Ovis aries: one gene and its partners. The main gene of each other region encodes a partner of the protein of the gene in region 5 in a complex. Links are inferred from orthologs where the notes say so. Each region holds a gene or a part of one and is shown on either strand. Other genes may lie near its edges.

The links.
Region 1: the proteins of MED12 (region 5) and CDK8 are in contact, whole or in part, in a cryo-EM structure (PDB 8TQ2), measured with the Homo sapiens proteins. The link is inferred for Ovis aries from reciprocal best matches to the Homo sapiens genes MED12 and CDK8. Residues at the interface, in NP_005111.2 of Homo sapiens: Pro26, Gln27, Gln31, Glu33, Asp34, Leu36, Asn40, Val41, Lys42, Gln43, Gly44, Phe45, Asn47; in NP_001251.1 of Homo sapiens: His143, Ala144, Trp146, Phe180, Asn181, Ser182, Pro183, Pro186, Ala208, Arg209, His210, Thr212, Lys213, Met273, Pro274, Pro320.
Region 2: MED12 (region 5) and MED25 share a complex: the UniProt entries of both Homo sapiens proteins name them as parts of the mediator complex. The link is inferred for Ovis aries from reciprocal best matches to the Homo sapiens genes MED12 and MED25.
Region 3: MED12 (region 5) and MED7 share a complex: the UniProt entries of both Homo sapiens proteins name them as parts of the mediator complex. The link is inferred for Ovis aries from reciprocal best matches to the Homo sapiens genes MED12 and MED7.
Region 4: MED12 (region 5) and MED31 share a complex: the UniProt entries of both Homo sapiens proteins name them as parts of the mediator complex. The link is inferred for Ovis aries from reciprocal best matches to the Homo sapiens genes MED12 and MED31.
Region 6: MED12 (region 5) and MED23 share a complex: the UniProt entries of both Homo sapiens proteins name them as parts of the mediator complex. The link is inferred for Ovis aries from reciprocal best matches to the Homo sapiens genes MED12 and MED23.
Region 7: MED12 (region 5) and MED26 share a complex: the UniProt entries of both Homo sapiens proteins name them as parts of the mediator complex. The link is inferred for Ovis aries from reciprocal best matches to the Homo sapiens genes MED12 and MED26.

Annotation. Positions count from the first base shown.
Region 1 is NC_056063.1:33,436,899-33,441,534, forward strand, and holds the start of CDK8 (cyclin-dependent kinase 8), read right to left. Parts: upstream 2,872-4,636; 5' UTR 2,346-2,871; coding exon 2,218-2,345; intron 1-2,217.
Region 2 is NC_056067.1:55,910,123-55,914,608, reverse strand, and holds the start of MED25 (mediator of RNA polymerase II transcription subunit 25), read right to left. Parts: upstream 2,915-4,486; 5' UTR 2,820-2,914; coding exon 2,686-2,819; intron 2,593-2,685; coding exon 2,547-2,592; intron 2,077-2,546; coding exon 1,952-2,076; intron 1-1,951. UniProt on the Homo sapiens protein: Component of the Mediator complex, a coactivator involved in the regulated transcription of nearly all RNA polymerase II-dependent genes.
Region 3 is NC_056058.1:66,387,143-66,390,723, forward strand, and holds the end of MED7 (mediator of RNA polymerase II transcription subunit 7), read right to left. Parts: coding exon 3,117-3,581; 3' UTR 666-3,116; downstream 1-665. UniProt on the Homo sapiens protein: Component of the Mediator complex, a coactivator involved in the regulated transcription of nearly all RNA polymerase II-dependent genes.
Region 4 is NC_056064.1:25,115,090-25,119,523, reverse strand, and holds the start of MED31 (mediator of RNA polymerase II transcription subunit 31), read right to left. Parts: upstream 3,190-4,434; 5' UTR 3,123-3,189; coding exon 3,095-3,122; intron 2,244-3,094; coding exon 2,166-2,243; intron 1,694-2,165; coding exon 1,597-1,693; intron 1-1,596. Other genes in the region: C11H17orf100 (uncharacterized protein C17orf100 homolog), read left to right, coding at 3,574-3,951. UniProt on the Homo sapiens protein: Component of the Mediator complex, a coactivator involved in the regulated transcription of nearly all RNA polymerase II-dependent genes.
Region 5 is NC_056080.1:63,837,132-63,841,092, reverse strand, and holds part of MED12 (mediator of RNA polymerase II transcription subunit 12), read right to left. Parts: coding exon 3,912-3,961; intron 3,363-3,911; coding exon 3,282-3,362; intron 3,151-3,281; coding exon 2,980-3,150; intron 2,778-2,979; coding exon 2,633-2,777; intron 2,467-2,632; coding exon 2,416-2,466; intron 2,093-2,415; coding exon 1,974-2,092; intron 1,781-1,973; coding exon 1,637-1,780; intron 1,204-1,636; coding exon 1,040-1,203; intron 837-1,039; coding exon 705-836; intron 288-704; coding exon 60-287; intron 1-59. UniProt on the Homo sapiens protein: Component of the Mediator complex, a coactivator involved in the regulated transcription of nearly all RNA polymerase II-dependent genes.
Region 6 is NC_056061.1:57,044,632-57,048,592, reverse strand, and holds part of MED23 (mediator of RNA polymerase II transcription subunit 23), read left to right. Parts: intron 1-334; coding exon 335-459; intron 460-2,094; exon of another isoform or gene 2,095-2,293; intron 2,294-2,525; coding exon 2,526-2,637; intron 2,638-3,961. UniProt on the Homo sapiens protein: Required for transcriptional activation subsequent to the assembly of the pre-initiation complex. Component of the Mediator complex, a coactivator involved in the regulated transcription of nearly all RNA polymerase II-dependent genes.
Region 7 is NC_056058.1:6,224,857-6,228,817, reverse strand, and holds part of MED26 (mediator of RNA polymerase II transcription subunit 26), read right to left. Parts: intron 1,861-3,961; coding exon 1,786-1,860; intron 1,110-1,785; coding exon 1-1,109. UniProt on the Homo sapiens protein: Component of the Mediator complex, a coactivator involved in the regulated transcription of nearly all RNA polymerase II-dependent genes.

The DNA of each region.
Region 1 (4,636 bases), on a different chromosome or scaffold from region 5:
TCTGAGTACTCTCTTTGAAGGTGTTACTGTCTAGGATCCTAGAGTTCTCTGAAATCTTGGCTGCAGAATATATAACTTCATTTGAAAATAAATCAATACTAGAACCAAATTATCTGATCATCTTTTTATACAAGATTAAATAGCCACAAATTTTATTTTACCTGGACTTAAATGCATTAAATTACATTTCATTGACATAAGATCAAAAAAGCTTCATAAATATAATACTGCATTTTACCAGAGTGAGGTGATAAGAAGCCAAACTGAAAAATATTCCCTCTGGAACACAGAAACTGTTGAAAGCAAGTTTAAAACTCTCTTGACATTTGATCCATTTTTTAAAAAAACACTTCTATGAACAAAATCATTAATGACTACTGAAAAACAAGTCCAAGGAATTATAAACAAGTTAATGTTCCCAAATGCAAGGCTACCTGGCTATCATGAATGACAAAGATATGTTCATATACCATACATCCATCTATTTTTAAATTGTACAGATTAAATTTAAATCTCCTAAAATTTTTCTTAGCCTTAATGAAAACTTGACCACGAGATATAAAATGTGGTCAAAAGTACCTCCTGCCAATAAACAATATTACAGTTTTTAATAAAAATGTTAAGTCAAAGTTAATAAAATTTAGATGTTTTATTAAAATAGTAATTTATGAAAACAGAACTGTTTTTTTCAGAGAGATCAAAAACAATTTAGGGTCACCAGAATTTTATAGAACAGATGACAGACTGGTCAAATGCCCTACAATGTCTAACCTCATTTTTTAACTATGTATTTTATTACAGAGTAATACTTCAATGAGAAACGTAATTAAACAAGAGTCAGCAGTATCTCCAGACACTGATTTCTCAAATGTCACCCAACTATCCATCCCACTTAAAAGTACTTGTGAATACATGCAGCACACACAGGATCAAGTTCTCAACTCCCTATCTTTGCAGATACCAGTACTGCGTTACTGCTGCATATAAGCACTGAAACATATTTCAAATTAGTTAGAATTACTATCTTCTTCCTTAGAGTCCATTTTAAGTTATTTTAGAAAGACACCTCAGCAAATCTAAGAAAAATATTGAATATATAGCTCCTTCCCTTTCCAATATTGAGGATACTGAAGTATTTATAAATATGGCTTCCCCCCAACCCAGGTAACTTCAGCTTTATGAATGGTTTCATTTTTTTAAGCACTAATACAGTTCTGAACATATCCTCCCATCTAAATTGTTGAAAAAAGCAATTATTTTAAACGTTAAACAGCAGCTTAACCAAACTAAGAGTGACATTCAAGTAAACCTACTTGTTTATAATAAAATCTAAAGATTATATAAGCTTTGACGTCCTTTCCAGCGTTTTCCTATAGTGTCAAAGGTGAGAAAGACAACATCCGTTTTTACAAGAGGAAAACTAGGAGTTAATAGATTATATTTCTCATCTAAGAAATGTCTTCTCTTTTGTCAACATTACAAGACATTCATCTAGTGACAAAGGAAAAATGAACAGTTCACTTGCCGGTTTAGGAAACTAAATTGGGAGCATTACCAGTCATAGACTTAATTAAGTTATTTCTAGGTAAGAACATTTAAAGCAAATAGACTATTTAAAGTTCCTTGTCAACTGCTAAAGTGGGGGGGAGGGGGGGTCTGAATAAGACACCCCTATTTTTCATTCGCCTTTCTCCCCACCACCTACCCTGCACCAAACCCCCATTGTTCTAGGTAAAACTCGCAGCTAATGATAGCGAAACAGCAACTGCTACGTTTCTGCCGCAGGTGATCGATCACCAGGAGGAACTCTTCACAACCACCCTGACTTGCTGCTTTCTTCCCCACAAATAAAACCCAAATGGGGTCTTAAATCCATCACCAACCTGTGCGGGGGAAAGGATCCCAGCTTCCCTTCCGGGCTGATGGATGTCGGTCCGGAGGCGGGTGAAGGGTCCCCTAATAAATCGACCCCTCCCTCCAAGATCATTTAAGCTGACGTTTTATAAGGAACATTTAAAGAAATCTGGCACCGAAGCCCTTGAAAAGTACAGAGCCCGTGGATCAGACGCTCCTCCTGCTGACAAGCGGCGCCCGGAGACCACAGGAGCGGCTCGCGGGGTGGGGGTAGGGGTCTCGCGCGGGCTTGGCCCCCCTCGGGCACCACGTCCTCCCGGAGCCCGGCCCGCGGGGGCTGCCCACCTGCCTGCCGACACTCACCCATCCTTCCGCTTGGCTTTGTAGACGTGACCGTAAGTGCCTCGGCCAACTTTGCAGCCCTCGTATTCAAACAGGTCCTCGACCCGCTCCCGCTCGCTGCTCAGCTTCACTTTAAAGTCATAGTCCATTGTCACGGCCGGCGGGGCCGGGGAGCTGGGGTCGCGGCGCCGCGGCGCGGGGGCGGGGGCCCTCCGGGAGGCTCCGGCAGCCGCGGCCCCCGGGAAGCCGCCCGCTCTACGCCCGGCGGCCGCAGCGCCGGCTCGGCCGCGGCGGCAGGAGCAAGAGGAGGCCCCGCGAGGGCGCCGGGGACATCCAGCGGGGCGGCGGGGCGGGGGCCGGCCGGGGTGGGCTGGGGGGACACACGCCGAGGAACCCGGGGGCGCAGGAGGGCGAGGGACGAGGGCTGGGGGTGGGGAGCGCGGTCGCTGCCCTTGTCCCCGCGGGCTCCGGGGCTCTGGCTCCTGCGCTCCGGCCGCGCGCTCGGCCCCCGCGGCGGGCGGCGGCGGCGGCGGCGCAGCGGGCTCTCCCTCGGGCGCTCGCGCCTAGCCGCGGTAACACACGCTCACGCTCGCTCCCTCACTCGCTCTCTCCCTCGCTCGCTCTCCCGTCCACTCAGACAGAAAGGCAGCGCCGCACAACAGCCGGCACCTCCTCAGAGAGCGGAGGGCGGGGACTCGCAGAACGCGGCCGCGCTGTCGCAAAAACGTCGCGAAGACCCTGGCCACTCGGCTTTCCCCGCCGCCCGCGCCGCGCGCCGCTCCAACCGAGCCTCGCTCCCCCGGGGGGCGCGTGAACCCAGCGCCGTAGGCGCTGCCCAGAGCAGCCGCCAACAGCACCACGTGGGCCGTCCCGGTGGCAGCCGGGGCTCCAGACTACAGCACCCAGAATGCACCGGCCGCCTCGGTGGCCGCCCCGCCTTCGGCTCCGCCCCCCGCGAGGTGGGGAGGTGGGAGCGATGCACGATGGGATTCGTAGTCCAGAAAGAGGGGAGTCCTTTCGATGACCACTTGGGAAATTTTTTTTATTTTAACAGCGTTGTCGCTAAAGTCAGATTTGGGCCAGAAACTTAACTAGAGAAATTTAAGCGTGAGGGAGTCTATTCTGTGTTAGAATCACATTTTGTGCCACTTCCGAACTCCAGAGTTTGAAGGGCACTATCGTTATCGAAAAACATAAATCTAATTATTGATCAACGGCTCACAGAGTATCACTCGGGGAATCTTGTAGGTCACGGTCTAATAAGGGCTGCACAGTGACAGCAACGTGCTAACACGCATTACAAATATCAGTAAAAGGGAGTCAGTTGGGAGTGGCCACGCTGCCTCTGGAGAGTGGCACCCTTGTGACAGAGGACTATCCTTTCAGAGGAGATGTTACTTTGAGTACGGCCTTTTGCACCACTGCTCCTAAGAATTGCCATTTTTAGCCATGATTACAGCAATGGGTCTAAATCCATAAAAACTGTTCATAATGTTAAGGGAGGAAAGGTGTCTGCTGGAGGAGTCTTGGTATCTTTATCGTTTTTTAAAAAAACATTTGGCTGCACCAGGTCTTAGTTGTGGCACTCAGGATCTTTAGTTGCAACATATGGGGTCTAATTCCCTGACCAGGGATGGAACCTGCGACCCCTGCATTGGGAGTGTGGAGTCTTAGCCACTGGACCAACAAGGAAGTCCCAGTGCTGATACATTGATAATAATACCTCATTTTGTTTTATCCCCCTTATTTAGATGACTATTTTTCATTATTTTATTTTATATTAATTTTATGTTTATATTTATTTTACTTTTCCCAACTGCTACCATTTTCATGAAAGTTCCCCACGTTGTCTCTCCACTTTTAACATCCTACCAATTTTTTCACCTTTCCCATGGTATTCATCAAATCGTGTTCTTTTATTTCCTCTTCCTTGCTAGATTATTAATTCCTATAGGAAGTCATATTTGCATCTTCCCTGATGCCTAGTATCATGGCTTGATTTTGGTGTGCAGCAATGGCACCCCACTCCAGTAATCTTGTCTGGAAAATCCCATGGACAGAGGAGCCTGATAGGCTTCAGTCCATGGGGTTGCTAAGAGTTGGACACGACTGAGCAACTTCACTTTCGCTTTTCACTTTCATGCGTTGGAGAAGGAAATGGCAACCCACTCCAGTGTTCTTGCCTGGAGAATCCCAGGGACGGGGGAGCCTGGTGGGCTGCCGTCTGTGGGGTCGCACAGAGTCGGACATGACTGAAGTGATTTTGCAGCAAACGTGTTGAGTTAATAAGTAAGGACGTTTGTGTCAAAAACATCTATGTTCATGGGATTCTCCAGCCCAGAATACTGGAGTGGGTAGTTTGTCCCTTCTTCAGCGTATCTTCCCGACCCAGGAATCAAACAGAGGTCTCCTGCATTGCAGGCAGATTCTTTACCAACTG
Region 2 (4,486 bases), on a different chromosome or scaffold from region 5:
GATGTTATGTAGGCGTTTACCAGGGAGAACCAGAGCATGAAGGGCGTTCTGGACATTCGTTCATTCGCTTGTTCCACAAAGTTTTCCTTGGGGCTCTTTCATGCCAGGCCCTGTGCTGGGTGCTAGAAACTTGAGGGACATCAGACTTGGACTTGAACCTCAAGGAGCCCCCATTCCACATTATTCAAGTCTCACCACAATCTGTTCCAGAGGTTCTCGACTGGGGCGGATTCTGTCCCCAAAGGGACATCTGACAATGTCTGGAGACATCTTTGTTTTTATTGTTTATCACACTGGGGAGGGAGGAGACCACTGGCATTGGGGGGGAAGGAGCCAAGGATGCTACTGAACTCCTTACAACACACAGGAATGCCCCCCACCCCTCCACAACACACATACAATAATCATCTGGCCCAAAGGGTCAACAGTGCTGAGGTTGAGAAACCCTGCTCTGCCCTGACCATGAATTCTAACAACCATAAGGGGGGAAAGTGAATGTGCAGTGCCTGGTCTAGCACGTGAAGCCTGAAACAAACCAAGTGTTCAACAAACATTTGCTGCAGATAACAGCAGCCCACGAATCCGGTTGTTTAATGGACTCTGACCAGACCCTGAGCTGAACACAGTATGAAGATTAGCTTCTGTGACCCTTCTCTGAGTGCTGATATGGACTACCGTTATCCCTCTGCAGACCAAGAAACCAAAACACAAAAGAACAGCAAAAGCTGAGGGAGCGCTTAATCGTGTCAGGCACTGTTCTCAACAGTCATCAACTCGTTTGATTCCCAAAGTCCCCTATAGTGTCACCGGAACTAGATCTCCACTGAGCACCATCTCCTGGTATTCATGCCCCCTCCAACACTGAACAGAACTGACTTGTATACTAAACAGAATGTGACACAAATGATGGTGTGACTTCTAAGATTTGATTATAAAAATCTTTGTAGTCTCCTTCTGCTCTTTCTGTTGGATTGCTCAGGCTGAGGAAGGCCAACTGCCATGTTGGGAGGACACTCAAGCAGCCCCATGGAGAGATATCTTAGGAATAACAGCTAGCAAGGAACAGCTAGCAAGTTGGCCTCTGGCCAACAGCCACAGGGTTAGCCACCTTGGAAATGGATCCTCTGGTCCCGATCCAACAGTTGGATGACTGCGGTCCCAGCTCATCTGACTGAAATCCCACAAGAGACCGTGAGTGAGAACCATCCATCAAAGCCACCCCTGAATTCCTTACTTAAGGAAACAAGCCACTAAATTAATTTTTTTTTTTTTTTTTGGCTGTGCCCCTCAGCATGTGGGATCTTAGTTTCCCCACCAAGGATCAGACCCATGTCCCTTGCAGTGGAAGCACAGAGTCCCAACTGCTGGACCATCAGAGAATTTCCAAGTCACTAAGCTTTAATCTGTTTTCCCAACACTGGATAAGTAACAGGATGACTATAAGTACTATTACCGTTCCCCTTTTAGAGATGAGTTCTATTAGACACAGAGGACAGGGACTCGTGGGTCTGGCAGTCCTGTTGTGGTAGAGCTGAAAAGTGGCCCCAGGCTGTCTGCACCTGCAGTGTGAACTATCAACATTGACTCCAAAGCACAGAGGCTTAGCCCCACCCCTCTTGCGCTCAAGCTTCAGTGCCCCTAGTAGGAAAAAGAAGGGCTAGAGTAGACAAGAGAAGCAACAGACAGAAAGGAGAATAATATATGAGGAGTAGGACGGGTGCTGGACTTCCCCAGGCCTCCTTGACCAGGAAATTCTTTCTACTTCCAAGCCAGACAGCAACACCAGCTGAGCATACAGAACCGACCACTGAAGTGACCTAGGGACAAAACCACAACCCCCATCGCAGCCCTTTTTAGCAACCAATGTGAGGGGCTGGATCCGGCAGCACCATTCCTCTGCCGTCCCTCCCAGGTTCCCCCAACCCTTCCGGAAGCCGAGAAAAGAGCTCACTTAATGCCATCGAGCCAGGTGACAAACTCATAGGCGCTGCTGGTGGGAGCGTGACATTGTACGTAGGACTCTGGAGCGCAGTCCACCGTGTTGAACACCACGAGGCTGTACTGGGTGCCCCCATACTGGGAGGGGAGGACAGGAGAACTTTTCATCTGGGACCCAGCTCCTTTTTCCCTCAGGGGAATCGGAGCTCCCAGCCCCTCCTCCCTCGGACCCGGGGGTCCGGACCCCGGTACTCCCACCTCAGACCCAGGACCCGAGCCCTTCCCGCCTCGGACCCAAGACCTGAGCCTCCTCCCCTCTCGGACCCATTAGTCCGGACCCCAGTCCCTCCTCCCTCAGCCCCAGAACCCGAGCCCCATTCTCCTGGAAACCAGAGTCCAGACCCCAGCTCCTCCCCGCTCGGACCCGCAAATCCCGACCCCAGCCCCTCGGACCCAGGTGTCCAAACCCCAGCCCCTCCCGCCTCCGACCCCGGAGTCCGGACCCGAGCCCTCCCACCTCGGGCCCAGGGTTCAGGTACCGCCCCCTCCTCCCGCAGACCCAGTCCGGACTCCCATCTTCCCTCAAACTCGAGAGTTCCAAGACTCACGTCTCCGCCGAAGTCCGTCTCGGCAGGAGGGCCGCCATTAAAATACCTGTGAGGGTCGGAAGTGAAAGGTCGGGGTGAGGAGAGAGTGTGGAAAACTAAACTCGGAGGGCGGGGTTGGGGCCGCGGAAACGGCACTCACTCTATGGCCGGGAGCAGGTAGTGCTTGCGGAGCCCCTCGAAGTAGGGCCCCAGATTGGCCGTGCCCTCAATTACAAACACCACGTCAGCCACGAGGCCCCCGGCGCGGGCCGGGCCCTCCGACCCGGGGACCATGCCCCGCGCCGCAGATGCCGCCGTCGCCGCCACCGCCGCCACCGCCGCTGCCGCCGCCGCCTCAGACACCGCGGGCTGAGCGGAAGTGCGCCTGCGCCGCGCGCGCCCCCGCGCGGGACGGCCTCTCGGCGCTGGCGGCGCGCTGGCGGCCATGTTTGTGCGGGGCGCCCGGGGCGGGTGGGTTTATCTCCATCCTCCTTCGCTCCCAGTGTGTGCAAGACTCAAAAAGGACCTAGAGAACTCCTTCGGGGACCAGAGGTGGAAGCTTGAATTATTTGCAGAACTTTCGAGGGCGAAATATACTGAAAGCGGCGCGTCAGACGCCATTTTTGAGGGGGGGGCGACCTTTCCGACACCGGTTTCAATGGAAGGGCCGGGAGACCTGGTTGCTATGCAACGCATACGCTGCCCTTGTTTTCCTAAAAAGACAGATTAGGTTTCTAGTTAAGTTCTTACTGGTTCTTGGGGGATGGGGGTGGGTGGGTCGTGTGAAGGGTCCAATCACAACGTCTAAAACGGGGTTACTAGGCAACGCTTTAAGGTGGCAATCAACTCTGAAAGGAGTGCAGCTGTTTTTTCCCCACTAAAAGAAGCCGAACTCTAACCCGAGTGGAGGTTGCTAAGCAACACCTGATAGTTGTTTTCTGGGAGAAGAGCCAGAAACTGGCCTAGAACATGAATACATTCCAGGTGGATTAAAAATGTAAATATAACAAATGAAACCATAACACTGTATAATCCTGAAGACTGGGGAAGAGTTTCTTATCATTACAGCAAAGCCAGAGCACGGAAAATATTGAGCTGTTTGTCCGCAGAAGACTTCATAAACCAAGCTGAAAACGATACGGTAAACTGCGGAAGTCACTGTAACATGTGTTGACAGAAATTTACTACCCAAATACGTATTACTGATCAATACAAACTTAGGAAAACAGAAATACTTTTTTTTTTTAATTGGGGAGGAAACTAAGCAGGTTTTTCCTGTACGCAAAAACATACTGAAAGTCGCTCATATGCACAAGTTAGTAAGTGCTAACACAGGGTCCAATGATAAGTCAGTTTATCTTTGTCATGTTAATTAATGCTGGAAAAATAAGTCCATGACGGTGGGAAGGTTTGGGTGAAATGAGCAGGCTCAGACGTGATCTAGTGGAGATGAAAACCAAAACAGCTTGCTCCAATGCAGTTTGTCAATATATTTCAAGGTAAAAGGGTGCATTGCTTTGCACTCAGCAGTATCACTGTTTTGTCTCATGTACTTTATTGATCCTTTTATTTTCTTTGCTGAACGCTTGTAAAGCAAATCCCAACATCGTATCATTTTACCTCTACCTGCTGGATAGGCATCTCCCCAAAGTTGCAGGTAACCACTATGCCATTAACATCTCTAACAAAATTCTTACTTCTTGGTATTGTCGAACACTTAAATCCATAATCAAATTTTCCCAGTTCTCACAAAATGTCTTTTTACAATTGTTTTATTTGCATCAAGATCCAACAATGACTGAACCTGTGTTTAGACATCTTAAAATTCCTTTAAATCTAAAGCAGATCCCTTCTTTTGTATGCTAGTGTAATTAAATTTTAATAAAATCATAAGGAAGATAAAAGTAAACTGGAGAAAGGCAAAATGATCAACAGGTATGGAGCTTGAAATGGTACCTAAA
Region 3 (3,581 bases), on a different chromosome or scaffold from region 5:
CTGACGCCATCCCCCCCCCCCCCCCGCCCGTCCCCCGCCAGCTGAATGGCCCAGCTGAAGTCAGGAATGCCACCCCTAACTTCTCCCTTCCAGCTGGTCAATTACCTTTTTTTTGGAGACAACTCCCAGACAGTAGTACAGAAAGACTTAACACCCAGGAACTGTTAGCACACATGTTCTCCACTCATACCATCAAAGAAGCTGGTTTGTATAGAATGAAATTAACAGAAAAATCAGAAAGGAGGGACAAAGCGTTCTGGGTCAGGTTTGAGTCCCACTTGCCCTAAAGAACCTCCAAGTCCTCTTCATGGTTTGGATGTTTAACTTACCCCTCAATCATGTAACACGTGATTTCAATAATCCTGTTAGGGATTTCATAAATCCTTCATCTCATAAATTTAAAAGGATTTCATAATCCTTTCAACAAATTCATCTTTTGCTTAAACTAGTACAAGTATAGAGTACTGAGTAATGCAATCCTTTATCCTATGGCACAGCAGTCACCTACAAACTTCTTAAACCCAATCTCAGGGCCCCACTCCAGAGCAATGAAACCAGAATCCTTGTAGTCTGGGTCCCAGCACTGGTAATCTCAAGAGTTGCCCTGGTTATACCTTCAGATATTCCACTTCAAGGTATCAATTTATAAGGAATATTCATTACGATCAGGTGTGCAAAGATGTATTTTAATACTTAGAGTTTTTACATACACTTTGAAATCTGTAACAACTATCAGACCACTGGTGTTTTTTCACCAGTGTTTTTTCCATTGTAACAGCAGGAGTTCACATCAGAATTCATTAGTTTATGTCAAGTTCCACCCTGACAGATCTGCAAGATCATATCCCTTCAAAGTCAGAATTTAAGATTTCACATGAAATTTTAATCTCTTACTCTTTCTCTCCAACAAACATTATATACAAATAATGCTGTGACTCTCTTAAGGATGTGATAGTGATAATGTGATTCAGTTTTTTCCATGCAAGGATTTGCAAAATTGGTTTTGTACTTCAGTGTTATAAGAGGGTTGTGTTCAAAGGAGATTCCTTTGGAGAGTTGCCAAAGTGTTATACCTTATTCTGCCATAGGGAGATGAAGGGGTTTCCTTCCCCCTTCAATTTAAACTTAACAGAGCCCAGACTGTGTCTCCTGGAGTCTATGGAGCCAAAAAATCAATACCAAACACATATGAGGAAAAAACAAATGAGACTTGCCAACTATCTGCCTAACAGAGAGGTTATCTACTTGAAAGTTACACAGTTGTGTCTGACTCTTTGTAATCCCATGGACTGTAACCTGCCCGGCTCCTCTGTCCATGGAATTCTCCTAGCAAGAGTACCGGAGCGGGTTGCCATTTCCTTCTCCAGGGGATTCTCCTGACCCAAGGATCAAACTCAGCACTGCAGGCAGATTCTTTAGCAACTGAGCCACTAGGGAAGCCAAATATTTTTTGACAGGCAAGGGGCCCACGGACAGAAACAGCAGATTGGCCCCACTTGCCAAGAACATCTGTCCCTCATCTGGCATGGCTTAGGCCCAGTCCAAGAGAGTATGCAGAACAGGCTATCTACTTGGGAACAGCCTAAATGCCCCAGAATTTTAAAGAAAAGGATAAATGAGTGTTTCACACACAGAATTGACCCATGGCCACTTTAAACCGGACTTCGCCTGTTTATTTGGGCAAAAGCCTTATCATTATCAGGGATTCTTAAGCTTGAGCCTGCATGGGAATCACCTGAGAGCTCTTTAACACAGTTTGTTGAGCCCCACTTCTAGAATTCACTTTAACATGCCTGGGGTGGACCTGAGAATTTGCATAACCAGTCCCCAAGTGATGTCAATGCTGCCAGTCTAGCACTATGCTTTGAGAATCACTCAAAGCATATTTCTAAATATGCTTTATTAAGAGAAAGGCTGGGAGAAACCCTCATATACAAGGCAGACTCTCCATCAAGATTTCAGTGGAAGAGGGGTTGGAGAAAAGAGAAGTGCAGAAATGAAATCTCAGTGCTCAAAACAACAGTAACAACAAAATAACAACAGTAAGTTGACTTCTTATTCACATGGTGAAGTTAAATCAGCAGGGGTAAGGAAAGGGGTGGGACGGTGGGGAGGATGGAGTTAAAATGAAAGGAGGTCCTGGTCTTCAGGCATTCAAGGACCCAAAATGACCAAACTTTTGCCATCTTCAAGTGGCTTCCAAAGTTTTCCTGGGTGTGATCATCAAACCAGATGAGAAGAGAATGGTGGGTGATATAAAAAACTTTTATGGGGCAGGCCTGGATTTTTACATCATATTCCACTGCTAAGAATTCAGTCACATGGACTCACAGAGATGCACAGGGAATGGAGAACCGCAGTTTCTGGCAAGGCAGCATGTCTCAGGGGAGCAAGAATCTCTGGTGGACATCCAGTAATCTCTGCCACCAAACCCCCTTTCCATGGCAGGCTTCCACCCTTAAGCAAGTCTGAATCTAGGAAATGTAGTACAGATAATTTACATAGACATTTTAATGATTAAAATGAATGTCTGTAACTAAAAGTGATCAAAGGACTTCTTAGTGACTGGATAAAAGTTCCAGGACCCATCCAGGATAGGGGTAAGAGGCTGAGACAGTGTTTGCAAGAACAGCCAAGAGAAAAAATGAAACTTTTACAACTCTGGGGTTCCTCTCTTTAAACATGTTACACTATTCTTTTTTAGAGATTAAGCAAGTTTTTAAGTGAAACAAAGATTTCATAATTTCATTTATAAAGTCTGATATCTTTTATTATCTATCACTCTTAAAGCAAATGACAAATCTACTTCCCAGGGTTGAAACCTGCTATCACTGAAGATATCTTCAAAATTCACTGCAACTCTGGAAACAAGGATATGCCACAAACACCTGCACTCTGCTTTTTAAGGGGATCACTCTTAATTAATGTAGGCACACTCATTTACCTATGCTTGCCATAAGGTGAAATTACTGCTATGACTTCTCACAATTGAGAAAGTTGGAGAATCAAGCTGCTTGCAAGACTTCTTTCTAGTTATCTCTCTTTTGAAACTCTCTAAAAGTGAATTAACTAATGTGTTTACCATTCACTGAACGGGAAAGGAAAAGAAACATCCTTCATGGCCTTTCATTCATTTCATCAATCAGGACACACAAGGCAGCATCTTTCTCTATAATCTGATCTCTCCTATGACCTGAATTTTCTCTTTGTTGTTCATTCTGTCCAATACAATTGTTGCTGTCATCAGCGTCCATTGGTTCAGTTTTTACTCTGATCCCTGCTTCCGAATGAGGCAAATCATCAGGCAGAGAAGCCAAGCAATTCTGAATCATCTCAATGACTCGTTCCAGATGCTTTTGAAACCTCTCAGCTGTCTCAAGACGTTGACGTTTCTGCACCTCCATCATGACTCTCAAGGTCTCTCTTGCTTGGTGGGGTCGGTATTCATTTATGAGATGATGTACATGTACAAAAAGCAGCTTAAGATCTTCTAGCTTCTCTTCTCGTTTTATACTCCCAGGGCTCCTTATCAAGATATCTAAGAGGTCTAAGAAATTAATAAGGATAGACATATTGAGTTT
Region 4 (4,434 bases), on a different chromosome or scaffold from region 5:
TTTTAAAGAGAAGCTTAGAAATCTGAATCAAAATATGAAACTCTCCAATCTTTAAATTTTGACAACTACTAAACAAAAACCTTGTGTAGAAATGAAATGGGAGTTAATTTGCAGCCTCTCTTAAATTTAAATATCTGAATGGTTATTCTTCAAGAAGGCATAGATTGGTTCTGGATTAATTCAGGGTCAAAACTCAAAACATGAGTTAAAGTTACATAGAGGTATATCATGTTATAGGACTTCCCTGGTGGCTCAGACGGTAAAGCATCTGTCTACAATGTGGGAGACCTGGGTTTAAGCCCTGGGTTGGGAATATCCCCTGGAGAAGGAAATGGCAATCGACTCCAGTACTATTGCCTGGAAAATCCCATGGACAGAGGAGCCCGGTAGGCTACAATCTATGGGGTTGCAAAGAGTCGGACACAATAATACAAGGAGGAACTTTCTGGAATCTAGCTAACAACGGAATTGGCTGCCCCTGAATTAGTATGTGTTCACTAGAAACCTCCAGCCAGTATACAGATGACCATCTCAGCAATGTTGTGGGTAAAATTGAACCTGACGGTGTCCAGGGCTCAGTGTCCAACACTGAGTCTCTAAGTCTATAATACATACATATAACATGTTGCAATCTAGTAAAAAAATATATATATTTTCTCTGGATTATTAAATGAATAAGTGGTTCTTTTATAAAGGGCCAGTAAGGGTGGAAAGGGTCCCACAGGCAAAAGGAGGATGTGGACTTCATAAAGCAGCTGTTATTAGACAGAGAAAAGTGGCTTGGCCAAAGTACAAGTCTTAAACATTCTCCTCTCAAACTTGTGTCTGTTTAGGGGAAAAAAAAGGCTAGACATTTCACCACTGCTTTTTGACTACCTATTTAAGACAAAGCAGAGGTGGGTGTTCAAGGCTTATTTTTTATCATTAAAAAGAAATGTTTGTGATTACAATATGCTCCTTGCATTTCAGTAAGCCTTAAAACGAGAGTATCTATTGCACAACCTGAATGATAAATTCATGTATTTATTATGTAAGATATATAAAATAAGAAAGCAGCTATTAAGACTCGGGTACGGTTACCTTCTCCAGAAACCCTTGCTTACAAGTAAGTACCTCTTTCTATGTTTTTTCATTTTCAGGCTATGGCTGTCATTGCATATATGGACTGCGGGTTCCTTGAGGTCAGAAACTCAGTGAGATGCAGGGAGTGGTACAAGATAAGGTCAGAGAAGACAGGGACAGATCACACAGGGCTAAGAGACGAGATTTTCTTCTGCATGCAATGGGAAGCGACCAAAGGGTTCTAATGGAATGTAATTTCTATTTTTAAGAGACCAAGTTGGCTTCTGTGCAGAAAATGTTTCTTCTTTGTTTGGCAGGGCAGGGAGAAAGGAGGAATACCAATGAGTAGATACTGCAGTAATCCCAGTTAAGTTAGAGATGATGTGTCTCGTATTAAAATGGAGGCAACTGAAAGGAGAGCAGAGATTCAACAGGTATTTTTTCCAACGTGAAAGTAAGAAGTCTATTAAATATCAGTGCTTTGGAATATAATAAAAGTACACACATGTTTAGGACTATAAAAATTAAACTTACTTTAGATACTTGGCATATTCTGGTTCTTTCCAGTAAAGCAAGTACTTAAGATAATTAACAAAAGCTTTATCTTTGAAGTAACCTCTTTGGGCAAGAACTGAAAGGCATAAAAAAAAAAAAAAAAATACATCTGTAGAGCACACCAGTCCTTGGACTACTGATCTGTGACTAACATAATCGTAAAGAATTTACTTACATAACATTCCCACCACCAACACACACTGAATTCAAAACAGAAGTCCCAGTTTGCTCAATTATATATACCAGTATAAGTGCAACAGTCATTCCATTCAGTTAAGAATGTACAAAACTAGATACTAAAGTCATCTCTCAGAATCCACAGGGAGTTGGTTCTAAGAGGCCCCGCAGACACGAGAATCCACAGGTGCTCCAATCTCCTGTACAAAACAACATAGTGCCATGACAGTATTGTCACCCTCAGGATGGGCAGATTCCACCAACTGAGGTTGCCTCCAAGGATACAAAGGGCTGACAGTACTATGAATTTTGACTCTTCTATCAGAAATCGTAACTAGCTATTCACTTCAATGAGGTGCTCAACAACTTACAGTTAAGGTAATTTGGGTTGGCTAAACACTGTACAAATTCCAACTCCAACTGAAACCGCAGTCGATTTCCAGCATCATCTAGGAGAGAAGATAGCAAAATCATCCAAAATAAATGTCACTGTATATAATACTGATTTTTAGACAGAAAACAGCAGTACAGACATCTGACTAATGCTGAGTTACATAAAGAAGAGCATGCAAAGGTTTTCCTAAACTGGGTGTAGGAGGAGAAACACCTTCCTTATAAGTCTAAGGAAAGCAAAGCCCTGATTAAGAAAAAAAAAAAAAAAAAAAGGTTTATCTAAAGTTAAATTATCAAAGAAAACAAGATTATACATGGAGCAGAACATTAATCACTCGTGAGCCACCATGTTGGGACTTCACAGTGATCACTAGGATAAGCTGCAGCAATGTGCCTTGCCTTATTTTGATAGTGCGTTACAAGCTGTTAAGTGATCAAGCTTAGCAAAAACAAAATGCTAAATCCATCAAGAGACGTTCAGAATGCAAGATGAAAGAGACCCTGGTGAGTATCAAGAAACGCGTGCTTACGTGAGACCCGTTAGTGGCACAGTAATACAAGAGTTCGCTGACGATATTTTAAACTTAGGCAAGCTCATCTGAGATGCAAAAAAACAACTCGAGGAAGCGGTTTATGATCCAAAATCTCTCCTTTAGTCTTCTGGAAGCCGGTGGGGCCACTGTTTGAATAACTAACGGGGAGAAAGGATCGGCCAACAAAACAAACTCTGAAAAGGCCAAATTACCTTCGCCCTTCCAGTCGCTAAAAAAAAACCCTGGTGCCTCCCGCTCCGATCACTCACTCTGCCGGGAGTTGGGCCTGGATTCTCAAAAAATCCCGGGAAGCAGGTGTCTGGACCCGGGACAGTTTCTATTTGACAAAACGCGAGGCTCAGAGCGCTACTCACCTGTCTCCATAGCGACGGCCGCGGCCATCACCAGCAGACACTCTTAAGTCCCCAGCAACCCCACACAGCCAGGATCGGAGAAACAGGGAAGGTCCGGAAGTCGCAGCGTCCCCTTCCTGCCGCGGGGCAGTGTGGGATGCGGGGGTGGGCACAGCTTCGCAAGGGGGCGGGTGGCTCCGCCCATCCAGGGCCCGCCCCGCCCCAACCCCGCCTCCACCCGGACAGGTTCTTGACAGGCTAAGGGGCGATGCGGGGGCAGACGGCGCTCTCGAGGGGACGAACCCAGCGTTCCCAAGGAATCTTAGGCCTCCCCGCCCCAAGATCACGGTGCCTCCACGTGGTTCGCGGGACCCTCGACCACCGCTCTGCCTGCATCACAATGGCATGTGACGTCGCTCCTCACCGTATAAAATAATCCTTCGGGGATTGTGGGGCTGTGGGGCCTCCAAAGGTCAGCTTGGCCCTGTTACCCCCATAAGATGGCCTCACCCCTTCGGGGAAAGCCCTCTCCGGCCCGGGCGGAATCCATCCGCTCCGAGGAGACGGCGACGGTCAGCGTGGAGACCTCGTCCCACCGCGTGGAGACATCCTACCGTCACGTGAGGACATCTTCCCGGCAGGTGGAGACCACCCAGCGCAGCAGCGAGGGACCCTCCGTCTCCTCCTCTGGGAAGCGGCTCCCTCGAGTCCTCGAGGTGTCCTCCCAGCACGTGGAAACCGCCTCGCAGCTCACAGAGACGGCTTCCCGCCACGTCAGGGCCTCGTCCCTGCGGGTGGAGACGTCTGTGCACCGCGTGGAGAGCACGCCGCGGCGGGAGAAGCCAGCCGCCCGCCATAACATCCAAAAGGCCCGATGAAATGCTGCCTTCCTCGGGGCCACGAGGGGGCCATGGCCCTTGGCCAGGGCAGAATCGCCTCCAGTTCGCAGCCTGCCTGCTGCCAGGTGGACCGATCATCTTTGGTTTCCTGGAAACAGTCCACAGATCAATTTAAGAAAGAGCCAAGCTGCGGTTTCGGGATTTAGCCAACATTCATTGACCCTCCTGCACCTTGGACCAAAGGCAAGCCTTTGACCCAGTGAACTATTTTAATTTGAAGCCAGCATAAAAAGTTTTTAGGCTCTAGATACTGTATGTGTTAAGCTGATGGAAAAGAGACTGTTTGAGCCTCCAAGGCAGGTGAGTTTTGAATTGGGGGCCCTTTAAATAACCTTGGCTGCTTCAAACCTGGAGAAGGAAATGGCTACCCACTCCAGTATTCTTGCCTGGAGAATTCCATGGACAGAGGAGCCTGGCAGGCTACAATCCATGGGGTCACAGAGACCTCGACACAACTCAGCG
Region 5 (3,961 bases):
ATCCCTCCCAACATCAGGCGGGAGCGTGGTGCCCATGCCTCACTCAGTACGCCCCATACCTATCCGAATCATGGTGCCCCACACAGACGTGCATAAGGGCATTGCAGACAAAGCTGTAGCGGTTAGCAGGGTTCTCACTAAGACTCTTGCCTAGCCCCGTGTAGGTGAAGGTGTGAGCAGCGGGGTTCTCTAAAGTGTCGTTCATGAACTCAGGTGCCCAGCGCATGTTGGACTCTGATGGCTCCACATTGCAGTAGATGGTGTTCTTCACCTTGGAGCAGAAGTCACTGCAGGAGGGGAGAGGGGAGAGCAGTACTGAGGACGTGCTAGTGAGCCAGAGGGATGGTCAGGAAAGAGGAGAAAAGAACAAAGAGGAGAAAATGAGGGACCAAGGGCCTTAAGGCAAGAAGAGGGGAAATGGGACAAAGCCGACCAACTGGGCGGGAAAGAAACCCAGTGAGGGTAAGGCACAGGGGCCCCAGGAGGCAGGGAGGAGGAGCGTGGGCCCTGCAGGCGTGGGCCAGAAGCAAGGCTGATGAGGAAGGAGGCCCACTCTGGGGACCAAGAACACTTAGAGGACACTGTCCCCAAATGACCCTGCAGACACAGCAGGGTGGTAAGCTGTGCTCTGCTCCTAAGTTGGGCAGTAGCAAGGAGATGGGATGAGGTCCCACTCTCTACCCCTTACCTTCCACCTCTCTTACCTGAAGAGTTCCCCAAATTTGCTCTTTAAATGGCTACAGGAGGTGTACAGATCATAGAGATATGCAAGGATACAGCGTTCTGCAGAGGAACCATCGGACCGGTTCATCCCATGCTTAACTACGCCACACAGCCTGTTGAGAAGGGACAAGGTCGCGCCTGGAGCAATGGCGGGTCTGGGCGCCAAGATTCCTGTCCCTCTGCAATGTTCTCTCCCCTCCCTACCAGGAAGGCATGCAATTCTGCATTGCAAGAGCCCTATGTGTTCTCTGCAGGTCATTTCCAACGGCCTTCACCAGGGCCCCATGGGTTTTGGTTATTCTGAAGCTCCACTTACCCCTCAAAGACCTGTGCCATCTGGTCCTGGTTGAGGATGAGGCAGGCGTGATAGTGGCGCAGGACAGCCACGATGCACAGGCACAGGCTCGTGGTGTAGCTGCCCACCAGATCTGAGGATTTGAGAAGCAGTTCGGCCTCGACTACACTCAGTTCATTCAGCAGCTAGCAGAGTGAGTGGGGGTTGAGAAACAAGAAGAAGCCTCGAATGTTATACATCATTCCCCTTCCTGTGAGAAAACTGGAGCCCTTTCCTGCTAGAGATGCCTCAGCCTGGAAGGGCCCCAGTGGCATATGCCACTGTCCTTTATTCTATTAACAACAAGCCACATCAGTGATCTACCCAGTGTCCAGGATACAATCCTATGAAGTCCACAGTGGAAGGACAGTCTGTGCCCAGTGCTCTAATCCATCTCTCGGGCCTCCCCAGGGAGCACTTGAGTCTCTATTCCTGCTGGCTTAGCTCACAGGCCACTCTCCCGACACTAGCCTTTTGGTCCCTCCAAATAACATGGGACACTGGCTTGAGCCTCTGCTCTTGTCCTTGTGACCCTGTACTGCACAAACGCCCTCTCCCTCATCTCCCCAACTCCCCCACCTGAATAGCAAAGTCGATGAGGCCACTGATGCTGAGTGAATATTCCATGAGGTCGAAGATAAACTGCACATGCTGCACCAGAGGCAAGTGGTACGACATGCCAAGGGCAAAGCTCGTGATCTGCTCCAGAACATTCCGGGAGACCTGATAAGGGCAGCGGGAGTGAGAGATGGGAGTGGAGAGAGGTGAGAAGAACCAGGGTAGCAGGAAAGGATGATGGGGAAAAGGGGTGAGAACAGGAGGCTTAGCCTGCCTGGGAGAGAAAAAAGATAAGGAGAGAAGGAAAACAGGACAGGGAGGCCAGAATGTGGGAAGGGGGCTGGACTTAGGCCCACACCTGAGCCGTGACCTGGTGTTGGTCATAATGCGAAAGATGCTGGAACTTAGCAAAGATATCCTCGGCAGTGGGAAAAGCTTCAGGTCGGTTTCGTCGCCGCTTCTGTCCATCCTCCCCACCTGAGGGGACAGTTGAAAGGGACCAGTCAGGACAGGGAAGATAACCAGGCAACTGGGGGTGGGGGGGATATGGAGAGAAGGCTATGGTGGGGAGGGAAAGGGGAAGGAAGGGAGGGAGGGAGGAAGGGAAGGAAGGAAGAGGGAAGATGGGAAGGGAGGGTCAAGGAAGGGCTGGGGGAGGGATGAAGGGAAGGGAACAGTGAAGCAAAGGTTTGGAGGACCACATACTATGTGGACCTTAGAGGAGTATGTACAGGGAAGTGCTAGGTTGAGGGAGGGAAGGGAGAGGGAGGGCGGGTAGTATGGGGCTTACTGTGAGGTACCTAAGAATGTCAGGTCTCCAGGATTCAGAGGCACAATAGGAGCAAGCTGGTCTGCAGAGGGGGGGAATGAGGGGGGAAGTTTCAAAAGGACTAGAGCTCTCAGGAGACTCCAAGAGACAGGACATTGGGACATGATTGGGAGTTCCCTATGCTGGGGAAGGGAAGACTGACTAAGGCGCTCTTTGGGGGAGATCCATTTCAGGTGCCTCAAACCCACCAGTTTCTGCTGTCCCCTTGCGGTTCAGAACCTTCAGGATATCCTTGGTAATTTTCTTGATGGCATGGCGGGCATCATCTCGCTGCTTTCCCACCCCAAACAGTACGACCAACCGCTGGTTGCACTCATGGCTGCATGACTCCTCCTGCATCCCAGCGGCACCATCAGACTCCAGCAGGCATCACTCTCCCTCCTCTCAAAAGCATGCTCCATGCCCCTCAGCACCCCAGCACTCCAACCCTTCCCAGCATACCACACCCTCAAGAACAGCTCCAACCCCTCGGCAAAGTCCTTGGACAGAAACCTGGGCTCAGAACAGAGGGTCGGAAGGTGTTGGTGAACGGTACCTGGGGGATGGGAAAGTGTGTGGCATACTGCACATGCCGCGGCTGGTCATAAAGAACCCCAAGGGTTCCTTCTAGCTTCTCCTTGGGTGGGGGCTTCACCTCCTTCTCAACATCTGGTTTCTCAGGGGATGGACTGCCCTTCCCCTCACAGGGCATAGTGGGGGAGAACAACTAAGAGAAAGGCGAAAGGGCAGAATGTTTAGAGGAAGACAAAGGGATTGAGGGGGGTGCATAAGGAAACTCCCCAAAGTGGCATAACAGAAGGACCTCAGGAGCTGGATGCTTCCACACCAGTAACTTACTGAGAAATCAGGCTTCTCCATGTCCTCAAAGAGCACACTGGAGCTAGGGTCAATGTCCATAGACTCTGAGAGTCCTGGATCCTGAGTGTAGAGAACAGAAGCGAAGCTGCTTTAGCCCTGAGGAGCTGCTCCCCACCATCTCGAAAAGTTGATTGGAGTCGAAGAGAGGAGCCCATACTGGGAAAAGCACTGGTTCCAGATCCAAGCCTTGACTGGTCCCTTAACCTCTGCAGGCCTTGGTTTCTCTCAGCTTTAAAATGAGGATAAGGATACCTCACGGCGGGCGGGGTCAGGGGGCGGCGGGGAATTCCCTGGTGGTCCAGTGGCAAAGACTTGGCACATTTACTGCCGTGGTCCTTGGTTGGGCAACTAAGATCCCGCAAGCTGTGTGACACAGTTCCCCGCCCCGCCCCCCGCCGGCCCCAAAAAAGAAAAACAATACCTCACAGGTCTGTTGTGAGAATCGAATGAAAAAAAAAAAAAAAAGAACTTGAGAGTGCTTGCTAAACTGCAAAGCACTAAGCAAATCCTACCCTCCTTACTTCGTAAAGGATTCTCAGAGGACTCCTGGAGCCAGGAAGAGGCGGCTGTCAAGAAGAAACAATCTAGGACAAGGAAAAGCTCGCTCACCTCCAGCTTGCTGCTGCTGCTGCCCTCAGCCTCCTTGCGCTCTGGGTCAT
Region 6 (3,961 bases), on a different chromosome or scaffold from region 5:
ATTTATATCTGCCATTAAGGGCACTGCTTACAGTGCCTTTGCTAGACTTTTTTGTTGATCATGAATATGTTAATAAAATCATACTCTTTCTGGAGGTCCCATATAGTAAAAATGGTGGAAGTTTTAATCTATATAATTGTGTGATTTTAAGCTTAAAATAACTCAGCTACTAAATCTGAATTTTTCCAGTTCTTTTAAAATTGTTTTCATCCATTAATTTATAATGAAGTATCTCACTCATAGTCTTCATATATACTCCCAGATGCTATTAGCTATTTGTTACTTATAAAATATAAGTTTAGACCTAAAATGTGATCATTTTCCAATTTTCCAGGAATCTCATGAACAGTGCATCCAGTGGATTGTTAAATTCATTCATGGCCAGCATAGTCCTAAAAGAATTTCTTTTCTTTATGACTGCTTAGCAATGGCAGTCGAGACTGGTCTCCTTCCACCCAGGTATGGTTAATGATGAATATGAACAATCTGAAATATTTTCTTTTTTTTTAATTAACGTTTAGAAATTGGTTGAGGTGATTGTTGTAAAAGGATAAGAGAATAAAGAAGGCAGTTACAGTCAACAAAAAGTGCTTCGTAGTATCTCAGTTTTAATTTCGAGGATGCAGTATTCTTAAAATTGTATACTTCAGGTGCTCAAAACCAGGCAGGCTTTGCCTTTTAGCCCAGGGATTAAAATCACTCACTTTGACAAGCTTTTCTAGGTAGTGTTTGTTGTATTTGTTATAGTCACTTGTTTGTTGAATTTTTTAGATTCCACATATAAGTGATGTCATATAGTATTTGTTGTTCTCTGTCTGACTTATTTTACTTAGCATAATACTCTAATAGTCTGTCCATGTTATTGCAAATGGCAAAATTTCATTCTTTTTTTATGGATGAGTAGTACACTGTGCGGAGAAGGCAATGGCACCCCACTCCAGTACTCTTGCCTGGAAAATCCCATGGATGGAGGAGCCTGGTAGGCTGCAGTCCATGGGGTCGCTAAGAGTCGAACACGACTGAGCGACTTCACTTTGACTTTTCACTTCCATGCATTGGAGAAGGAAATGTCAACCCACTCCAGTGTTCTTGCCTGGAGGATCCCAGGGACGGGGGAGCCTGGTGGGCTGCCGTCTATGGGGTAGCACAGAGTCAGACACGGCTGAAGTGACTTAGCAGTAGCAGCAGTAGCAGTATACTGTGTGTGTGTGTGAGATTGAGAGGGACATCTTTATCCATTCATCTGTTGAGGGACACTTAGGTTGCTTTCTTATCTTGGCAATTATAAATAATGCTGCTATGACCATTGGGATGTGTGTATCTTTTCAGATTAGTGTTTTTGTATTTTTTAGTTATATACCCAGGAGTGAAATTCCTGGGTCAGTTCCAGTTAACTTTTGCTGCATGATGAATTGCCTCAATACTTCATGGCTTAAAACAGTAATAATCCTTTTATTATTAACATTCACAATTACAGTGCTTGCTTGGACAAGGAGTAGGAAGGATTTTCTCAGGTTTTGTGTTTGCAATCGGATGGTGGCTATGACTGGAGTCATGACAAAGATTTCCCCATTCATATGCCTAACTGTCACCTGAGAGACATCAGCTGGCACTATTGGCCAGAACCTGCATATGCCTTCTCTGTGTGACCTTGACTTTCTCACAGTGTAGTGGAGTCTAGGAGCAACCATTCATAAGAGGGCTAGGCAGAAGCTGTATCACTTTGCCTTGAAAGCCTTTCCATTTGCCAGTCTTGGACCTGCCCAAACTGAGGGATAGATTTTTGTTTCTACCCTTTTGACATTGATACTCTTCCTGGGAGGAGCATCAATATCACATTTTAGAAGAGCACGTGGGGTCGAAAGTCTTATTGCAGCCATCTTGGAAAAACACAGTTTGCCACTAATTGGTTAATGATACACATTTAACCAATAGCTTTTGGTACATTTCTTTCTAGCAAAAATATAACATAATTAATATTAGTTCTACTTTGGAGAAGGCAATGGCACCCGATTCCAGTACTCTTGCCTGGAAAATCTCATGGACGGAGGAGCCTGGTAGGCTGCAGTCCATGGGGTTGCGAAGAGTCAGACACGACTGAGCGACTTCCCTTTCACTTTCATGCATTGGAGAAGGAAATGGCAACCCACTCCAGTGTTCTTGCCTGGAGAATCCCAGGGACGGGGAAGCCTGGTGGGCTGCCGTCTATGGGGTCGCACAGAGTCGGGCACGACTGAAGCGTCTTAGCAGCAGCAGCAGTTCTACTTTAGGACTTCCCTGGTGGCTCAAGACGGTAAGGAGTCTGCTTTGGGTTTAGTCCTACTCTGGGTTAAGTCTTTCATATAAATAAAAAATATAAAATGCTTTATGTAATTTTTTGAAAGTGTGCTTGAGTAATGTACCTTTATGACAATTATTAGCACTTACTGTGACAAATATAATATCCAGAGTTTGTGGACCTTGGCTATTAGAGAACTTACAAAACTCCTGTCTTGTAACTGGAATGGGTATTCCTTTTTTTCTAGGATGGTTTGTGAATCCCTGATAAACTCTGACACACTTGAATGGGAAAGAACACAGCTTTGGGCCTTAACATTTAAACTGGTTCGGAAAATAATTGGAGGGGTGGATTACAAGGTATTGTTTTTTCTGATTATAAAAAGTAATCGCTGTCAGATACTAATTTTTCAGGGTCTATTAATTTCACAGAAGAGAAATGAAGTGGAAGCATTTATAAAATCTGTCTCTTTTTTGTTGTATTTCCTGAAAGAGTTTAAAATTGCCCAGTGTTTCCCACAGCTCTCTGCTCCTCTCCCAACAGTCTTAAAAGTGCAGGTGGCTGGTAAACTTCTGTGACAAATAGGGAGTCACCAGGCAGACTCGGTTCTCTCATGCCACAGATCTTATGATCGTGGGGCCCCTGTCCAGTGGAAAGGCAAAGAGCAGGGAGGTGTGGAACTGAGAAGGGATGCAGGCATCAGCTGACAAAGGGAGCAAGTCCTGCTTCACCTTGGCCACCTTGGGCACTGTCATTCCTTAACTGGTATCTTCAGCACTCTGCTCTTGACCAAAACCAATAGCACACACACTCTAATTGTGTCTCATAACACAGCTCAGGAGCTCCACAGCTGCAGAAGCTTCTGCTTCATTCAAGCCACTTTGGTTATTGTCTCTTGAAAGACTTGTGGATACCTGACCCTGTGCATTATATCTGTATTTTCACTGATCTCAAATGGTTTAACTGATAATTATTGGCCAGAGTCATGATATCGTACAAAATTAGTTCTAAGAAGCCTTTTCTGATTATTTTCTATTTACTTGTACTTCGCTTTCCTTAGCAGGTTAATATGTAGTTTTGTACAAATAAGCACCTTATTTGTATGGTGCTTCATAATTGTTTCTTTCATGTATATGTTCTGTCTTTTACAAGACTGATCACATAGTTTATACTATGGAATGAAATGTCTTCCCTGTGTATTAGATTCTGCTTTGAAATCATGCAACTGGTAATAGATCTGAATAGATGACCAGTTAGCAGAATAGCCTTATTGGCTAAGTTTGAGGGGTTAAAATATGTGATGGATGATGAGAAAGAGGGAATGAAGTTAGAATATATACCAAAAGGAAGGTGCAGAAAAGGTTGTCTGCCAAAAAGTTGAATATTTATTGTCCATGTTTTTCAGAGTATTTTCAAGTTCTTCCAAATATATTTTTGTCTGTTAAGCTCAAACTAAACTTTTTGGTCCCTCATAATAATAGAAACTTTTCTAATGTTATAAAGCTGAACGGAATGTGGAAAGTTTAATTTTTATCTATAAGTGATTTCCTTTGTTCATTCATATGGCAAGCCATTCTTTAGATAGAATTCTGCTTTGGAACATGACACTTCTCTTGGGTTAATGTTAGGGGTTTGAATGTTAGCTTTGGTTCAGAAAAATTAAAAGTGTGACTTTGAGGGTTA
Region 7 (3,961 bases), on a different chromosome or scaffold from region 5:
CGGACAGGCTTGACACCAGCCTCAGCCACCTGCCCGTCCAAGTTAACCGTGTAGTCACGAGGCCGGTACCTCTTCTTCTTTTTGCTGTCTGACCCACCAGAGGAGGCAGCATCGCTGTCCGCTTTGGAGGAGTCTGGGGAGAAGCCTGCCCGGGACAGGAGCGGCTCGGCCGGTGGCAGCCCCGCCTTGCAGCCCGACCCTGCAAGCCGCTGGTGGCCCTCCGGCTGCTCCAGCCAGCGCACGGGGCTCTCTGCGCTGGGCAGCAGCTCGAGTCGCCGCACAGGGGGTGTGGACGGCTGGGCCAACGGAAGCGGTGACGGCACCTGCGTGGCATCCAGCGACTGGGGCCGAGGTGATGGGCTGGGCAGGGAGCCCTTGTACGTGTACGGGCTCCGCTGCCGGGCAAAGGAGCCCTCGTGCCGTGAGTTCCGGGAACCGAGAGAGCAGCGAGGTGGCCCCTTGGGGTGGGGGGGCCCTGGAGTCTCGTCCACCCTGTCCAACTGCTGCAGCACCACAGCCTTCGTCTGCAAGCAGGGCCCGGGGGGCTTGCCCAGGCCCGGGGAGCTGGTGTGCGGCCTCACGGCATTGACGGGGATCTTGCCGCTGTGCTTGTCATTCTCGCCGTGCTCCAGGCGGTTGCCCTCAGGGCCCACGTGCCCACTGCTGTCCAGGGGGCTGGGGAAGCTCTCAGGGCTCCCGCTGATCCCATTGGTGGGGAGGGGGGACGAGTTGGGTACCAGGGAGTCGTGGCTTGCCTTGGAGACCTTGGGAGGTGGCCCAGGGTGACCAAGGTCACGCTGGTCTCCCCGGCGCTTGCGGCTGCCCAACCTGTCCAGCCGCTGCCCGCACAGCCTTGGCATGTCATTGCGGTACTTCAGGTCATGGACGCTCTTGGGCGGGCCGGCCGCCCCTGCCTCTGGCCGGCAGTTGTGGGCACCGCCGTTGGCTGAGCCGGTGGCACCCGCCAGCCCCCGCAGCGCAGCCTCATTCTGGTGCACGGGCTCGATGAGCTTCTGCCAGCTCCGCAGCAGCTTCTTGGCCCGTTTGGCAAGCTCCTCGTTCTTGGTCTTCTTGCGGACGTCGTTGATGAGCTTCCCAAGGCGGGTTTCCTACAGCCAGAGAGACACAATGACACGCTTTTAGGACAGGGACACCCCATGAAGAGAGAGCAGAGGCAGAAATGGAGCTTCCCATGGAGCTGGGGGAAGGGCTCGTGTCTTTGAAATGACCCCACAGGCCCCCTAAACCACTGGTCTCCCAGACACAAAACCTATGAAGATTTTGGGCCCCTCGTGACATTTAAATTCTCAAACCCAAGTCCTCAGATCTTACAGTCCATGGGACAGACAGAGCATTCTCAGAAGCATCATCTCACAGGCTCCCAACTCCTGAAGGCCGCGGACCATTCACGGCCACCTCAAGGACACTTGGCCAGGGGAGATTTCTAGGTGAGAGTACACTGTGGCAAAGGCAACAGCACACGGGACCTTGAGCCAGCCTCACTCACTGGAGCCTCTGCTGCGCACTGCAGAGTGTGCAGGGCCTCCTGCAGAGAAAGGGGCCTCAACTCTGAACTAAAGCCTCTCGTATTTCCTGCAGTGCCCATGTGCTGTGGACTGGCACAGTGCAGGCCAGAAGGGCATGCCCCCCTCACTCCTCCCTTTAAGGCCTTGCTGGGCCAGTGAGCAAAGTCTCTGGGGCTCCAAGAAGTCAAGAAAGCCCAGGGCTGGGGCAGCCCGGGCCCCGCATCACTGCCGCCCTAGTGCTCAGACCTGGAATGCTCACCTCCAGTGCCTCTTTGGTGATGGGGTATTTCTCCAGGCTGGAGATGACTTCCTGCACCGCCACCATGTTCCGGATCTGTAAAACAAGAGCCGCTGTCAGACCTCAGGCACTTCTCCCGGTGCTGGCCTGCTCCATAATTCCCCCTTTCCCAAGCGCCGGTAGAGCCAGCATCACCGGAGACCCCCTCCTGCAGCCTCCTACCTGCTCCCAGGGGCCAGCACGCACCTAGTGCGCACCCTCCCGTCGGCCTCCTCCAGTGCCCGGTGAACAGGTGACTGAGTCTGTCCACGGACACACCCATCTGCCCAAGCGGCTGCCGCACAACTGAAATTCACATTTATGAAACAAGATTCACTCTTGATGCGGGAAATGCACTCGAGTCTGCCATCTGATGGGAGGCTGAAGGACTCACTGAATAAAACGCACCACATTTAAAACAGCTGTGCATAATCATCTAATCAATTTAGCTGCCTTAACAAGATCTTTATAGAGTTCACTGAAAGACATCCCAAGGAGAGCAGAAGTCACAAAGTGGGAGGAGACCAATGCCACAGGGCCCGCCGGGTCTGTGTTTGGGCCCACAGAGAACGCGGGCCGGGAGACACGAACAGGGACTGGGCACGACAGGAAATGGTGCAGCAGCGCTCAACTCTCCTGGCCATCAGGCGAGGCACACCGAACCCACAAGCGGCTGCAACGAACACACGCCAGACTGCTGGAAACGGTATCTGACAACACCAGGTAGTTCTGGGGTACGGCCAACTCTGGGGAGCACTGGGCTGTGTCTGGTCAAATCAAACACTTGTGTGTCTCGTGACCAAGCAATTCTATACCTCGATGACACGTGCTATGAACCAGGCCCTGTTCTACCAAGGTCTGTTTCCATACAGCACTACTCCACTGAATTATCACAACCTCAAGCAGAAGGTGTGAACTATTATTACCATCACATTTTATGAATGTGATGTAAAGGAGTGGGTCATGTGGTCACATGTTGTAACGACACCACTGTCGTCCAAAAGTTGAACAGACTAAGAAATTCAAGAGCTCTAGAAATGAGCACACTGCAGCTTCAGTACATCAACAGATGAACTTCAAACCACAGTGGATGAAAAGTCACAGGAGATACACACTGGGTTGATTCCAATTACACTAAGCATCACAGCATACTCAAAAATTAAAATGGACCCCAGATCTAAATGTGAAAGCAAAAACTCTAAGGTTTCTAGAATAAACAGGAAAATATCTTTGCAACCCTGGGGTAGACAGATTTTTCTGGAGCCCCAAAGCAGTGATGTCTAAGAAAATATCCTGACAAACCGGGCAGTGAGGAGGCTGGTCCCACGGGAACAAGGCCACCCGCTCCCTGTCCCCAGCCCTGGGATTCTGGCCCGCACGGTCCTGGGCTTGCCACATGGCCTCTCTCCACCTCAGTGACCTCACCCTGGTGTATTTAGAGCCCTGGGTCCCTACACACTCCTGAACCAGCAGTGTCCACAGAGCGAGCCCAGTGGCACAGAGTGTCCTTGTCCTTGGGCAGACGCTGTCCTGCTGCCAGAGGAGGGGCAGGCAGAACACCTGAGCAATGCTGGGGGCTGGAGCAAGCTGGCACTGTAGACCCTCACACAGCCAGAGACCCTCCTGGAAGCTGCTCAGGGTGGGGCTGGGGAAAGGCCTGCCACCCCACTGTCATAGCCGAGCAGCCTCTACACTCAGGCGGGCATCCAAAGGGGCTTTCGGCTTTGAGGCGGTGCTCAGGCTCTCAGCGCTGTGGACAGCACTGTCTGCTGCCTTCCTCAAGCTCAGGACCACCCGAGGGCTCATCCCTCTGGCTCCCCTGCTCCAGCCATGCTAGCAAGGGCACTGAGCGCTATGTAGGGAGCATTATCTGGGCATCTGGAGGCAATCAGGCCCTAAGGACTAGGAAGCAGGCCAAGTTCTGCCCTCAGCACAGCCAACAGGCAGGCGTCCTGGGCTCTATGCAGTGCAAGGTTGGGCCTCCAGCCTCAGATCCAGCAGACAGTAATAGCCCAGCAGCCTGCGGCCCTTGCCTCCACTCTCAACGAGAGGGCCCAATGCACAGCAGAGACACCAAGGCTCAGTATAGCCAAGGGGAGGCTTCTAGCCAGGCTCCAGGCCTGTAAAAAAAAAAAACCCAGTACAGGACGGCTGGGGC